Linked DNA regions of Coturnix japonica. The protein of the gene in region 2 interacts with the protein of the main gene of each other region in a biochemical or structural test. Links are inferred from orthologs where the notes say so. Each region holds a gene or a part of one and is shown on either strand. Other genes may lie near its edges.

The links. The genes of interacting proteins can lie anywhere in the genome.
Region 1: the proteins of ARHGDIA (region 2) and RDX form a complex in vitro, tested with the Homo sapiens proteins (2 studies listed by BioGRID and IntAct). The link is inferred for Coturnix japonica from reciprocal best matches to the Homo sapiens genes ARHGDIA and RDX.

What each region holds. Positions count from the first base shown.
Region 1 is NC_029516.1:160,652,790-160,660,677, reverse strand, and holds the start of RDX (radixin), read right to left. Parts: upstream 4,093-7,888; 5' UTR 3,940-4,092; intron 2,920-3,939; exon of another isoform or gene 2,901-2,919; intron 1-2,900. UniProt on the Homo sapiens protein: Probably plays a crucial role in the binding of the barbed end of actin filaments to the plasma membrane.
Region 2 is NC_029533.1:4,448,520-4,456,109, forward strand, and holds the start of ARHGDIA (rho GDP-dissociation inhibitor 1), read left to right. Parts: upstream 1-2,805; 5' UTR 2,806-2,923; intron 2,924-7,458; 5' UTR 7,459-7,478; coding exon 7,479-7,590. Other genes in the region: ALYREF (THO complex subunit 4), read left to right, coding at 1,013-1,160, 1,255-1,318, 1,472-1,649, 2,423-2,437. UniProt on the Homo sapiens protein: Controls Rho proteins homeostasis. Regulates the GDP/GTP exchange reaction of the Rho proteins by inhibiting the dissociation of GDP from them, and the subsequent binding of GTP to them.

The DNA.
Region 1 (7,888 bases), on a different chromosome or scaffold from region 2:
AAATGAACAACTGAGATTTCAATTCATTTAACAACATAGCAGCTCCATTTTTTGCAATCATTATCATCCATGTTCCCAGTTATGCCACGGAAGCCAACAAATAAAGCAATTGTTGAGAGACGACAAAGAAAGCTTTATCCAGAAAGCGATGGTGCAGAAAGTGCACGATGCCAAAATTCTGACAGATAATTTATGCAGCAGCTGTTTTCAAAAGGAACATTCATGCACACAGCGCGGGGCAGGGGGCAGGTGAGGAGGGGACAGGGGGCCTGAGATGATGGAAAACGGAGCCTCAGCATCAGCAGGGCCCTGTGTGACAGCGCAGGGCCTACCTCTAGAAGTCACTTCTCAGGGTGCTCCACAGGCTTCGAGCTCTCAGCACCTGCCTGCACATACACAGAATCACAGAATGACCCGGGTTGGAAGGGACCTCCAGGATCATGTAGTTCCAACCCCCCTGCCTGGCAGGGCCACCAAACATACACCTTTACTAGATCAGGTTGCCCAGGGCCCTGTCCAACATTGGTCTTGAAGCACTCAAGGACGGGCATCCAACTCCCTGGGCAGACTGTTCAGGGCCTAACCATCTCTAGTGAAGACTTCCCTATACATCCACTAACTTTCCCTCTTTTACACTTAAATACCATTTCCCCGTGTCTGCCTATTGTAGCTTTCGAAGAGTTTACCCTCCGGGAGTAAGTTCCCTTCAGGTAATTGAAAGGTGCAATGGCGGTCACCGCCACCTTTCTCTTCTCCAGGCTGAACAATCCAACTTCCTCAGCCTGTTCTATTAGGGGGGAAGGTGTCCAGCCTGATCATGCTTCGTTGGCCCCTCTCTGGACCTTTCCATAAATCTCATGTATTTTTGTACTGAGGGGTCCACAACGGTACACAGGTACTCCAGAGGGGCTCACAGAGTGAGTAGAGAGAGACATACAGATGGCAGGAACCACAGAGTTTCAGCCCACAAACAGCAGCTCACCATTTATAGGAACTTGTTTATCATAAACACACTTTTTCTTTGCAGTCTTGAAGCATTGCAATTGTTGTGATCTCCAACAGCTTTACGTGCAGCAATAGGAAACTTACAGGCCACCGTACTCACCCGCTTGGCCTCAGCTTTCTGCCAAAGCCTCTGTTCTAGCATAGCCTATGGGCACTAACCTTCACGATGTAACATCCTTGAACACACTGGTGAGGTCCAATAAAGCTGTGGGCATTCACACAGGCCTGTATCTATGTGCACCTGTCAGTCAAGTAAGGAGACACCTACACAACTGTCTGAATTGCAGGCAGACCACAGTGAAACCAGGACAAGCAACGCTCCAGGAATAGGAATAAAATGAAAAATCTACATTCTGTAAATAAAACATCATAACAATTTTAAAAAAGAAGAGATGTGACTAGTGCCAGATACTACAGAGTTCTACATAGCAATACTTGGAGTATCGTACCTTAACCTCCTCAAAAGAACACCATTTCCCTACTCCCACCATACCTGACTTGCTGATTGTCCGAATATAGTTCCTATATAACCAGGACAATTGTTCTGCTTTAAACATATTCAAGCAGACCATTTGGAAGATGCAGCTGCTTTCTTTTCTTCCCAAAACCAACTTGGGAGAAAAATTACAAGAACTTCAGAAGTACTAATGAGAACTGGGCAGCAGCCAGCACAGTAGTTAAACAGACAGGAACACGGAACAGCCAAATGAGTTTATGCAACGTTGAAGTTAGTGGCAGATGTGTTAAACAACTCACATATTAAGCTTAATAAATATAAACTGTCATCTTAACTTCAGTTTTTTGCTTAAGGCACCCAGTCAACATCTCGATGCGTTCTACAACAACACCACACAGACTTGCCATGCAGTCTTCCCTATGTATGTTGGATACAGAAGTAAAAAATGGAAATGAAGTGCGACTGACACAAGTACTCTATTGTTTTAAAGGTGAGAAACTTGTCTAGAAATAGGACTAGCAAGGAATGTGGCATAACTGAAACCCTGGGTAAGTCCCATTCAAGAACCAGAGGTTGTGTTTATGAATACATGGTGCAGGTCCCTTTAGGACTAGTTCCATAAAGCACAGGGAAAGCGCCCTCACATACATCACCTCCATACACCTTGAGTTCTTAATCAAAGCGCTCCTTGCTTGAGTCAGTGTAATAACTGAACTACGTGACTTGAAGGTTTCATTTCACAGAGTAATTAATAAACCGAAAGAGAAAGTTATTTAATTCAAAGCAGAGCCAAGAATAAGCCTCGCTGCTAGAGTTACCCAAAGATTCAGCTCTTCAATGCAGAAAACAGTTTCCTGAGGTACCTCCAACTCTGGGAAAAGCTCATGAGACACAACCGGGTGCTGCTTTAATGCACAGTATCTTTGGACAATCAGGTCTTTCTTCACAACTTAGCATAAAGTTTTGGTTACATTTACAAACTTGAAAATCCTCCCTTTCCTCTACACCCACATGCTTTTAAGGCAATACAAAGCGATAGGACGGCTTTGATGTTTTTAACACATCCAATACAAAAGCTGCAAATGCCTTGAACAACTTCCCTTTAACCCCTGCCAACACAAGGGCTCCTTCTTAAAAAGCTGAGCAGCAATTGAAGATCTCCCGAAGAATAAAGCCGAATAAAGCGCGTACTATCCCCACAATGGCTGAAATCACTTCATTTGCTCTATTGACAACGAACTGCTCCCAGAACTTCAATTTTCATTCCTAACCCAACCTCAATCATTACTGCATGGACAGATTCTCACCACAGATGCAGTGAGCTTCTCAGTCCACAGTTCCCTTTGCACACATCTGCAAGGCCGGCAACGCTCCCTACTGTGATGGCAACAGCAAGAGACCAGAGCTCTTTCTGTTCTCCCTCCAGCCACTTCCATACCGTTTCTTTCAGTCAGTACCCAAGGAGAACTCTCTGGACAGCTCCTGACGTGTCACATCGCGTCCCTTTCCACGTGGGTGTTTTTTTTAACGCTGACTACGGTACTTCGGCCCAACCTGAGAGAAGAGCTGTGTCACTTCGGCCACAAAAGCTGGAAACGTGCACCGCCTTTGTGATGCCGCCGCCGGGAGGCCGACTTAATCTGGGCACACCGCCGTTTATTTTTCTCACGCAGCCCCTCTCCTGCTGAATCGATAGCTCAATACAGACGAGACTTAGAACAGCGCCTATCGCTGCCCCGTTACCCACCGCAGCTCCACGCCCCCGCCGACGCAGCGCTGCAGAGCGGAGCCCACGCACCCAGAGCTGCGGCACCGCGCGTGGGCAGCGCCGTGACACATGGCGAGGGGCCGAGCGCGGCGTGGGGACACCTCCGGCTCCTGACTCAGCGTCACACGCACGGAACGAAGCCGAGATCAGACTCTTAACTCCCACAACTCAAAAAGAAAAGTGGCGGGAAGGCTGTGCCCTGAAAAGGCGTAACGCCAAATATTTGGCTGATGGGAAGTGACAGCCCCGCTGCAGCCCACGGCCGGTTCGCTGCTTAGGGAGCCGAAGGAGTCATTTTCCACGCGGGATTGAGAGAAGCGGCGCAGCGCTGCAGGCAGCTCGCTGCCCTCCCCGCTTAAAGCGAAAGGTGAACGGGAAGCGCCCACGGCCCGCGCAGAGCGTGAAGCCGGGCACCAACAAGGCACAAAGGCTCATTGAGAAAACGCCGAGCCGTGACGTCGGCGGCACTCGAGGGACTGCTTCAAGTGTCCATTTGTTGGAAACAATAGACAGCAACAGATGCTCGCGCTCCTTTATGAAGCCATCCCTTATCGCTCCGCACGCAAGCCGCACATGGCCGCGCAGCCATGAATAATGCAGCGGCAGCTCCCGCACCCCGCACCCGGCTCCCTCCGAGGGGCGGCGGGTCGGAGCCCTCACGGCTCGCAATGCCGGCCCGTCTCGAGGCCCGCGCCCCCGCCGAGCTCACCTGGGGCTGCCGCTCCCCCCGGCGTCGGGAGGGGACGAGGCTCGGGAACGGCGACCGAGATGCTCGATGACGGGCGTTTCCCGCCCGCCGCGCAGCTCCCCCTGGCAGCGGGGCAGGTTGCCGCTGCGGGGGCCGCCCGCGCTGCTCGCGGCGGAACGAGTGTCGGAGCGCGGCGGGCGCTGACAGCTCCGCAATATGGCGGCCCAGGCCGCCGTTGCAGATTTTCCCCCTATCAGATTTTGCGGCTCGGGACGCGGCGCGCAGGCGGTGGACAGGAACGCGCGTGGCGCTGGGCGGAGCGAAGTCTGTGCCCGGAGCCCGCGGAGCGGAAGGGAGCTGAGCGGGTTGTGCGGCTCCTCCCCGCAGCCTCAGGGCGCCGCTGGGGGAGGGATGAGTTTGTGAGGGGGGTCGGAAGGAGGCGGGAAATCCCGTATGGGATTATTGCTCTGAGGTCACGGCTTTCGTGCTGATAGAGTGTGATAAAGCTCTTTTTAAAGATATGGAGATTTTTGGAAAGGGTCCAGAGGAGGGCCACAAAGATGATCAGGGGGCTGGAGCACCTCCCCTATGAGGACAGGCTGAGGGAGTTGGGTTTGTTCAGCTGGAGAAGAGAAGGTTGCGAGGTGACATTGCAGCCTTTCAGTACCTGAAGGGAACTTACTCCCAGGAGGGGAGTAAACTCTTCAAAAGGGCTGACAATAGCAGGACACAGGAAATGGTTTTAAGCTAAAAGAGGGAAGATTTAGGTTGGATGTTAGGGGGAAGTTCTTCACTAGGAAGAGTGGTAGGCCTGGAAGACGGCTGCCCAGGGAGGTTGTGGATGCCCCGTCCTTGGAGGTGTTCAAGACCAGGTTGGTTTGGGCCCTGGGCAACCTGATCTAGTAAAGGTGTATGTTTGGTGGCCCTGCCAGGCAGGGGGTTGGAACTACATGATCCTTGAGGTCCCTTCCAACCCGGGTCATTCTGTGATTCTGTGATTTCAAATCTGCATTATCACTTTAGGATATGCCTTATCTCTGGTCCTGTTGCACAAAGAATAATATTCCTCAAACAAACAAACAAAAAAAAAACCAGTCACGTAAATAATAATCTTATCTTACCTCGTTAACAGTATAATGTGGTTTTCTTCTCACTTCGCTTCCTTAACAAGGTGTAAAGTTGCAGTTTGCCTGATAAAGCAGGGCAGTAAAAACAAAAGTGCAGTTAGTGTTTGAACTGTTTAGTCATGAAATTGAAACTACAGAAGGAGCTACGGTCAATAAAGAGCTTTCAGATATCCAGATCAACTTGAATTACAGTTCTTTAAGCGGTGGGTTATAAAGTTACTGATAAGAGCGCTGTAACTGTGAGATATAAAAGTTTATCTCCCAGCAGTAATGCCAACATACAGCGCTTCATTAAAAGTCATATTCTGAGCTTTCAGTGCCCTATCTGAGGAATCAATGCTACAATCAATTCTGACAGGAAAGGCTTCCAAGCCAATGCATCTTATTTCTAGTCTACCTGCAAAGATAGAAAGCATTGGTCAGTGAATACCCAACTGTGAGTAGTTAGATGTCACTTATGTTAATGCTAAATGTGCAATCCAAGGGATGTTTACTGGGCAACACGTTTTGGAAAGGAGAACTGAAAAATAAGTAACCTTGAGGAATTATTATTATTTTTTTTCCATGTTAAATGTTAGGCGGTGCACTTTTACATGTAATTCAATCAAGATTTGTGCCATCAGCTGCATAGAACTGTGGCTCTACCCATATCTCGCCACCAACATGAGAAGTTATACATGGATTTGTCTACAAGTCTGGAACTCAGCCACTCTTTCTGGGAAAGTGTGTGCCTATGACTCAGTACACACATACTTATCTATTAATATGTTTGCAGAAGCAAACCTCACATCATAAAAATATATTGCAGGGTAATTCAGCTGTTACTAATTGTATGGCCTAAAAGCAAATTGTTTAATGTTTTGTTAATATTTGAATATAACGGGGTTTTTTTATCTTAACATGTATCGATAACGTTTCTTTTTTTCAACAACTGTTGCCCCTTAGAGTTTCTGCTGGAAAGAAATGGAACTGAAGGAATTTTGTGGTCGTTAGATGAATCCAATTCATAGAGATTTAAAATACTTGGTTAAATTACAGTAAATGTCTGAAGTAATAGGTTGTACTTTTTATGTCTGATGTTAAGTTTATCTGTCATTTAAAGTTAAATGTATCCAATTCCAGAAAGTACTGAATTTCAGTAAAAATACAAGGATTCCAGTAACTGTGCTGGATATTCCACATTCCCTTTATTGAGTATATTGATGTAGTCTCAGCTTTGATCAAGTTCAAAATGCCAACTGTGGTTTGGTTATGGGAAGAATTTGTCCTTTTTCTAGTGCTAGGAGTCCTGCAGTTTGCAGCACCTCTGCAGACATTTAATATTGATGGCCTCAGCTCCAGGAGGCAAGATATTCCCCTTCACAAGTGTTGTGATGAGGGAGGACAGCCCCGGTCTGCAATAAGTGGGGAAGGTGGAAGAGAGATTTTGCCTCCTCTTCAAGAGCACAGAAAACAGAAAGGACAAACCAGGACTCCAAAGCCTGGTCAGAACGCCTGTAAAACAGTACTTGGGATAATCTGCTAATGAACTGCTGTGTTGGCAGCTAGTTTGGTGTCAAGCGGTTCTGCCTTTTGTTTTAATAGCCTAGCTGAAGAGGCTTAACCTTTAACATTCACAGTGAGACTCTGCTGGCCAGCAGCCACCTTTACTGTTGAAAATCTGCAGAGTCGTTGGCAAAAGGTCTCTCCTGCAGACCAGTAAGTTCCTGCCAGTGAAAGACTTCAGGAAAGAACTGCTTCTCTTAATGGTTGTTGCTACTGCAAGCAGACAGGCTGTACTGTTTAGGACCAGGGTGAGTAAATAGCCTGAAAGCTTTACTAACACCTCACATATGATAACCTAATGACACATCTTTGTTTTCTCATAGGTATTTAGTCTCTGATACAGTGAAGATACTGCAGTGGAGGAAGCCTATCTCAAGGCCGAATTATATATATTATATATATATATCAGGGCCATGTATATAATATATATGATATATATTATATATACATATTATATATATATATATACATATATATAATGAATATGTGTATATATATATATAATATATATATATATTCTGCTCAAGACTGAACGTAATAAATTCACTGTAGAGGAGTGTGCGCATTTAACTGTGTCGGTTATGGCCTTAACAGTTCGTGTTAATCAGTACTTGTATCTCTGAGGTAGTAATTTGCTAACAAATTTTTCATACAAAATATGGATCACCCATTCATTATATTTCATCCATTATTCTAACCACCGTTATCACTGTATGGCTTTGTAACTGCTGATAACTGCACAAAGGGCACATTAACAAATTAAACTGCTTTGCAATTAAGGTCGGGGCAAGCTGTCTAATTTGTTGTACTCCAGCTGGGACAGATCTGTTTGTGTCACTGCTCTTGTGTCATGTCGTCCAAACATGCCTTCACTGATACATAAGGTTGTCATCTAACAGCTGACACTTAGCTGCAGTTCTTGCTGCTGGCCACTTCATGGTTTTATCTCATTCATAGTTGTAATTACTATGACAAGTGCAAGTTGTTTCGCAATGACAGCGTTGTTTTTTTAGTGACAGTGTTTATTCTATCTGTAATGCAGCCAAGTCTGGGTCAGGTCCATAGCGCTGGAAATGAAAGTAGTTGGTAACCCTGGATATATTAATTTCAGCTAAATAATGTTAAGAATTTGTAATGAAATAAAATAGGAGGAGGTAAGGTAATAGGCAGAGTTAAAACCAGCAGTTCAAACAGCAGTGTTTTTGATGGAACTACTTCTATGGGCAAAGAAAAAAGAAGAGAAAGAATATGATTACCAGGGAATTGCATGCAAGCATTTGAAAGCTTGTGAAATACAT
Region 2 (7,590 bases):
CAGGAGCAGACAAACATCTGTGTATATTATATGTAGCAGCAAAGCTGACTTAATGGGTTTGTACCTCTTTGTTACTGCCCATCCCGTAATTTTCCACTAAGCTGCACTGATTGTTTTCTTTGTTTCTGTGCTGATTGTGTCATTAATATGGTTCTGCTCAGCTCAGTGCTGAGGAATGAGGGGCTTGGTGGGAGCCTCGTTCACGTTGCTCTTGTAGGAGTATGTGTGGTGCTGTGGCTCCAGCTTCTCTGCAGGACAGGGATGTGATGGAGCACCTCTCCTCCCATGTGGTGCTGTCTTCCAGAAAGCTTGTTGGGTGCTGTATGTTCATGTTTAGTAAATGGACACAGTAGAGAAACTCACTGACAGGCTTGCATAAAGTGCAGCTGGCTTAAGAAGTGAAAATATTTATATGCTCCTTTCAAATGCTTGGATAGGAATTATAGAGATGGCTGGAATAGTGTTTGGGCTCTGCTGCAGGTGATATGGAAGGCAGCCTGTGGTGTCTGCTTTGGACACCTGACAATTCTGTGTGCTTCAAACATTTGAAGAGTGGGGTGTAGGTATAAACTTGCAAAGTAGTGAGATGTCCCCAGATGTACATCTTAGATGTAGCCTCTGTGAAACAAAATGGGTGGCTCCACTGTTGCAGCCTTCCATCGCTCGTGATGGTAAACGATGCTCTTCAGTAGAAGATTTCCTGCTTTCAGTTTATACAGACTGGCAATGTCCCTGGGAAGAGGAGCAGGTCAGCATACCTTGGGGCCACTTTGTTGGCTGTATACAAGCACCCTTCAAGTGGTGGATATGAAATCCTGTTTGTTTCTGCCACCTGTGGCTGCTTTCTGGAAGTCTTTAGTGGCCTGTGTTCCTTCTTTCACTGGTGCTATTTGCGTGGTGTCATGGAATGTACATGATATTGCTGAAAGCAGGAGCTGCCTGCACCTTCTCTGGGCTGCTCGGTGTTTGCAGAGCTGACTGAAGCATATTCACTTCTCCCTCTGTTTCTCAGGAACTCTTTGCGGAATTTGGGACCTTGAAGAAGGCAGCAGTGCACTACGACAGATCCGGACGCAGTCTAGGAACAGCAGATGTGCATTTTGAAAGGAAAGCAGATGCTCTGAAAGCTATGAAGCAGTACAATGGAGTCCCCTTGGATGGTGAGTCTCTGTGGCTGTCGTGTGCTTCTCTGCACGGCTGATGGCATCTGTGTGCCTGCCACACTCACAGGGTAACTGGCTGCTTTTCCTGCAGGGCGCCCCATGAACATTCAGCTGGTTACATCACAGATAGATACACAGAGGAGACCAGCACAGAGGTGAGAAGCCGCGGGAGTCGCTGTGCCAGTCAGCACGGGGAGTGAACTGGCCTGTGTAGGAAGCATGGAATCCTCCTCGTGTCCTGCAACCTTCTGAGTGCCTGTTGGGGTTAACCAGAATGCACTATAACAGTTGCTTTTTAAAAATCACAGTGTAAACAGAGGTGGAATGACCAGAAACCGTGGTGGTACAGGAGGATTTGGTGGTGGAGGTACCAGGCGAGGTAGTCGTGGTGGGAGCAGAGGGAGAGGCAGAGGGGCTGGAAGAACTTCCAAACAGCAGCTCTCTGCAGAAGAACTAGATGCACAGCTGGATGCTTACAATGCCAGGGTAAGTGCTGCTCACATGATGGTCACGGGTACCTACAGCGTCCTTTTGATAAACACTGGCAGCTGGCTGGAAAGAGAAATTGTTTTTCAGGTCATTTGACTTAAATAGCCTCCCTCTAAAGCTGAGCATTGCCCTGTTCCTTCAGCTGCCTTAGCTCTCCACATCTACTGTTACTCATGAGTAATAAATAGCCCCTTTTCCAACTTCTCCTGGCTTGTTGAAGCCTGTGTCAACCAGAATTGGCAGTAATCAAGATGTGTGATGAACGAAAGCTATGAACCAAAGCCCAAAGGGATAATAGGCTGGAAAAATGAAAAGCAAAAAGAAAAAACACATAAAATAACCAGCTTGGTGCTAAGAAAGGAAAAAAAGTCAATGATGCTGATCACCCCTAATGCAGGTGGATGAGCAGAGCAGTGCACATGGTTTCTTTCATTCAGAATGAGCTCAGATATTGTGCCACAACAAGACTAAAGTCTTAACTGAGAATCAGTTAAGAAGTGATGCAGGGACTTGGCCCAAGCACTGAGGTGCAGTTTAGGTCTGCTCAGTGTGTGCTGTGGATTGGGCTGCATCTCCGCCATTGAGGCAGCAGCATCCTGGGGTTGGCAGGCAGGGCTGGGGGGTGTCAGGGTTGGGGATGGAGCTGGGGGGTTGTGGGGCCATGGTGGGTTGTGGGGTCATGGTGGGTTATGGGGCCGTGGTGGGTTATGGGGCCATGGTGGGTTATGGGGTCATGGTGGCTGCTGACGCTCCTCTCTGTTCTCTTCCAGATGGACACCAGCTAAAGCGTTGAGCGGCGCATGGAAGGACTGCAGACATCTCATTCCATGCTGTGTGGCGGGAGGGGTGTGCGACTGTGGCTACTAATATCAAGGATGGGATTTGTTTTACTTTTATGTTTTGGAATAGGTTTTAAACTCATGTAAAGGTTTTTTTTAATTCTGAAGCCAGACCCGTTTTGTACCGAGTTATTTTTGGGATAAATTTTACTGGTTGCCTGTTGGGCCGAGGTGGCTTTTTCACCTTTGCCGTAATAAAATAGAACCGTGTCTAGAGCTCCGCCTGCTCCCTGCCGCGCGCTCCTTTCCCGCGCCCGCGCTGCGCGGCGAACGCGCGCGTACTCCCTGAGCCAATCAGAACGCAGCGTCGAGGCAGGAAGTGAGGAGCGGGACACGCCCTCGTATAACGGGAAGTGACGGGCGTGTCCCGGAAGTGCGGGGGTGCGCGGGCGGCTGGGCGGATCCCGGCGGCGTTGGACCGCGGCGCGGACGGTGAGAGCGGCCGGGACGGCGGGACCGGGCGGGGCGGGGCCAAGGGAGCGGGGCGGGGGGCGCCGGGATCCGCCATGTGCGCTGCGGCCGGGCCGGGTCCCGCGGGCTCAGCGCCACGCCAGGGTCCGGGGCGCGGCCGAGGGGGCAGCGGGCGCCGTCCGGGTGCGCGGCGGGGAGCGGAGCGAAGAGCGGCGCCTTCGTGCCTTGAGGCCGCCCCGGCCGCCGCTGTCGGACCGGAGCCGGGTGGGGACCCGCTGGCTTCAAATAGATTCTCCATAAATGGTTTCGAGCTTTGAAAGGAGGAACTTGAAGGCGACTTCCCCACGGTTGGGTTCGTTTGGCGTTAGAGCCGAGACGTCGGTGCAGCACCGGGTGCAGGATGGAGGATGGAGCGGCAGTGAGCGCTGTCCGGGCTGCGGGGCCTCATGGCCGTGCCGGAAGGATGGTGCCGTTTCCCTGCCTGGGCGGGCGCGTTGCGTGAAGCCGTGACTTCCTTCTCTTAAAGAGCTCTCGGTTGTAGCACTCAATTATCGCTGTGAGAGCTTCAGGTCCCGGCCGTAGTGCTCTATATAGTGCTCTATGGGCTCGGTTCTCTTGCAGTGGTCCCGTTCTTGTCCCAGAGATGCTGAGTGGCGGCCGCTTCCACGTGGTGCCCAGGAGACATTTGCAGCTCCTGCAGTGTGGTCGTGCTGTAGCTCTGCAGTCGTTGTACTTACAGGTGCATAGTGCTCACCGTGCAGCTTGTTTGAGTACGAGGCTGCAAGGGCTTCTTAAATCCGATAAGCAGTGGGAGCTGTCTGCTCGTTCTCGGGTGATGCTCGTGGCAGGTGATACCTGCAGGTGTTGTGCAGTGCAGGGCAGTGTCACCAGCACGGTGCACAACTGCGGATCTGGCTGCAGAGCACCTGGCAGCAGCTGCTGTGCGACCCACAGCTCCTCCCCACGCCTGGAGCTGTGACAGGGATCAGCCTTAGGGCAAGGCGGGAGATCTCCATGCTCATAAAGCAGCTCAGCAATGCTGTGGGAGCACCCAGCGCTGTGCTCCTGAGGCTAAACCTGCCTGCAGGCAGCACTGGGGGGGGGTCACTGCTCTGCTGCTGCCACGCAATTAGACCTGGCTCTGGGCAAGCTCACGTCTGGCCCCTCGAGCTGCCATCATACGGGGTGTCTGTGCTGCTTGAACTGGTTTTAGCAGCTCTTGCTTCCTGTTTCTGCAGCACAGCAGCTTATGCAGCCCTGAGATGAACCAGGGTGGTTGAACCGACCTGTGTGGGAAGTAACCTTGCAGAAAGCCACATTGGATTCCAAGTGGCTTTGCTGTGCAGCTTCATCAGCTTTCCCTTGTGCTGCAGCGAAAAAAGGAAGGGTGTGGACTGCTTGAATTGGCGCTGTGTGTGTCCGTGGCTGAGCTGAGGCCTGACGGATGTCCGAAGCCAATTAGGTCATCTGTAAAGACTCTGACCACTCTTATGTCACTGCACAAGTACCTTGGGATCGTGGCCCTGGCATGTAAAGAAATCACTGCTCATCCCTGCCTGATAACGGTGTTCTTTTCCTAGCAGTGTTTCTATCTGGCAGAAGGTGGGGCTCGTGTGTTCACTGCTGTTCGCTCCTTGGTATCGAACTAAAAATACTGAGAGAACTCAGGAGAAACTGCTGACTTCAGGAAGCGGCGCAGGCAGCTGAGTGCAGATCTGCAGATGGGAAATAATTTGGTTTCTGCTGCTTTCTGCAGGCCCCAGTAACCAGCAGAGCTTCCATTTCCAGACATTCTGGGACATCCCTGAGGCCGCAGTGCTCTCCTGTGGTTGAGTGCAGGGTGGCACAGAGGCAGCAGCTGCACTGTTCTGTGAGCCAGGTGTGTCTGCAGTCAGAGCCATGGGCTCGGGCGGTGCCGCACAGGGTGTGCAGGTGCCTTCCGGGTTTCAAAGTTGCTGAGGGGGAATTCCTTGCAGAGGCCTTGGGGTGGTGCCTGGGTGTGAGGCTCAGGGCTGAAGGTGCCATTGCTGCTGGAGGTTGGTGTTCTGGGAGGTTTCAGTCACGAGGCTGAGCCCTCTGAAGGGGTTGTGGCCTCAGGTCCCCGTTCCTCTGCCCCCACCTCTGCAGCAGCATGTGCTGGAGCCATGATCCTACAGGACGTTGGGCATGGCATGAGATGGATGCCCGACCCAGTGTTCCAGTGTGTTGAGTCCCTCAGCTCTGCTCTGCCTAGCAGTACGACAGCTCCTCCTGCATGCACCCGACCAGCTCTGTTCTACTCATTCTAGGCTGTAGGAAATGCATTGTTATAGAAGCACGGAGCAGCCTGATGCTGCTGGGAGCCTCCTTTCTCCCTGGCAGAATACTCAGGGCAGCAGCTGAGCACTGTGATGTGAGGCTGCACAATGCTGTGTGCTGGGAGCAGGGTCAGCCGGGCGCAGTGGGAGCACGATGCCATCAGAACACTGCAGCAGAGGGGCTGTGGTGCAGCCAGCTCCATGAGGCTCCTCCAGGCCTCGCTGCACATTTTTCCTGTGCTTCCTTGCAGAGCTGAGACCCAGCCTGTCTTGAGCTGCTGTTTGGAACATTGCTTGCTGTTTCTGGTAACTTTGGGTCAGTTTGAAGAGCCACTTTTCACCCATGGACTTCCATGGGGTGCTCGTGGGGGAGGGAGGGGAGGGGTGAAGTCTGGCTTGGAGCTGAAACTGAGGGCAAAATGAGATTAAGCACTGGAACAAATGCTTGAGTGAGTGTTTGTTGAACACTTTTGGGAGCCTTCAAGCCTGGAAGCTTTCTTGGATGGGAGCCTAAAGGAAATGACTGGTTTCGATATGGATTTTCTAGGGTGAGAGCTACTCGGTTGCTCATGTATGGCATAAGATTTGAATGTAAATTTCCATGGCAATCAGTGCCAGGGACCTGGAGAATCCCTTTCTGCTGGTAGAGCTCAGTCAGGTTTTGATGCCCGCTGCAAGTACCCTTTGTGCACCCATGTTGGTGCCCCAGCCTCCCTGGGAGGTGCTGCCAGCCCAGGGCAGCTCAGATTTGCTCTTGTGTTTGGCTGGGGGTTCACCCACACGGGATCTGACAGCACCTCATCTCAGTGCCAGCATTGAGCTACAGCCCTGGTGCTGTGCTGGAGGCCGCTCTCATACCCTGGATCAGCCATAGTCATCAGGCAGAGATGTGCAACATATCACTCTAATTTGTCTCCTTGGCAGAACATTCCTAATATTTATGGCTAAAAACACCATCTACACATACCTCTGCTGTTGTGCTCTTGCAGCTGTCGCCAGGCTCAAGATGGAGGCAGACACAACTTGTCTTGTGTCACTGCACAATGTGCTCTGTGAGCTGTGTGTGCTCAGTGCCAGCGCTCAGGTTTTTCTCTCCCTGTCTGGGTGACACATTGGGTAGGAATGAAGTCGTTGAGTTAAGGGCTGTTATGTCAGCTAGTTCCAAGAGGAGAAGAGCAAATAGCAGTTGGCTTACGTAGCATAGCCTGTGCTGCAGACTTTGGGTTTTCCTTTACAAGTCAGCATTTCTGGATGTATCCTGGTCTTCTGTGGGGGCACGTGGAGATCAGAATTAAGATCATAGTGTTGATTTATTTGGAAACTGGATGGCAGAGCAAAGAATGCAGTTTTCCAGTCTGAGTCATGTGTGCTGATACACGACTCCAGACAGGAATGCAGAATGGGACGTGGAAATGCCAGGTAATAACGGGAATACCTGCATCCATCTGCACGTCATTTGTGGAGGATTTTGTCTGAGAAGCCTTTCAAAAGTTGTCAGCTGAGTGTTTTTAAGCCCTCAGAGCAGTCCAAGCTGATGTTTGCTGTAGGATCACCCGTAGGGCAGCACTCCTTGTGATGCATCAGGAATTACTGACACTTTTTCCTGGTGTTTTGATGGCTGTTGGACCAGCTCTCAGCTGGGTGTTTCCTGGTTACACTGTGCTCTGGGGCTTACAAAGCAGTGCCAATCTACACACCGGTCTTCAACCCATGTGTTTGCCCAGCTCTGTGACACATATCTTTGGAAAGGATCAGGATGAGGTCAGCTGAGCCAGGTGTCTCCTTCCATTGTAGATTCTGATTGAATTACAAACTGTGAGCTCCAGATTGCAGCTGAGGCTTCTGGCATTTGGGCCAGCGGTGGGGCTGGGCCTGTTCTTCTCCTCACCAGGTTGTACTATGGAGAAGCAGAACTGAACTGGGTTTATTCTGGGCTCAAGCTGATTGCAAGTGAAAGCATCACTGAGCTGTTCATGTGGAGGAGTTGTTTTTTTCTATGGCGTGGGCTATTTCTCTGTTGCAGCTGCTGAACAAAGCACAGAGGCTGATTACTTTTCCCAATCCTCTTGTAAGGGCTGAAAATGGGATCTTGGCTGCCGAGGGCAGGCTGGGGGGGGCACAGGTCCTTGACAGCAATGTGCCTCTGGAGTGGGGAACCTGGTGGGAGAGGGACCTGTGGAGTCAGGGCTGTTTTGGGATGGCTGGTTTATGCCAATATGCAGCAGATAGCTACAGTTAAACGTCTCCTCCCTGCTTCAGTGTAACTCGCGTGTGTGAAGATGGCAGAGCAGGAGCCAACAGCAGAGCAGCTGGCCCAAATCGCAGCTGAGAATGAGGAGGACGAACACTCCGTCAACTATAAGCCACCTGCCCAGAAGAGCATCCAGGAGA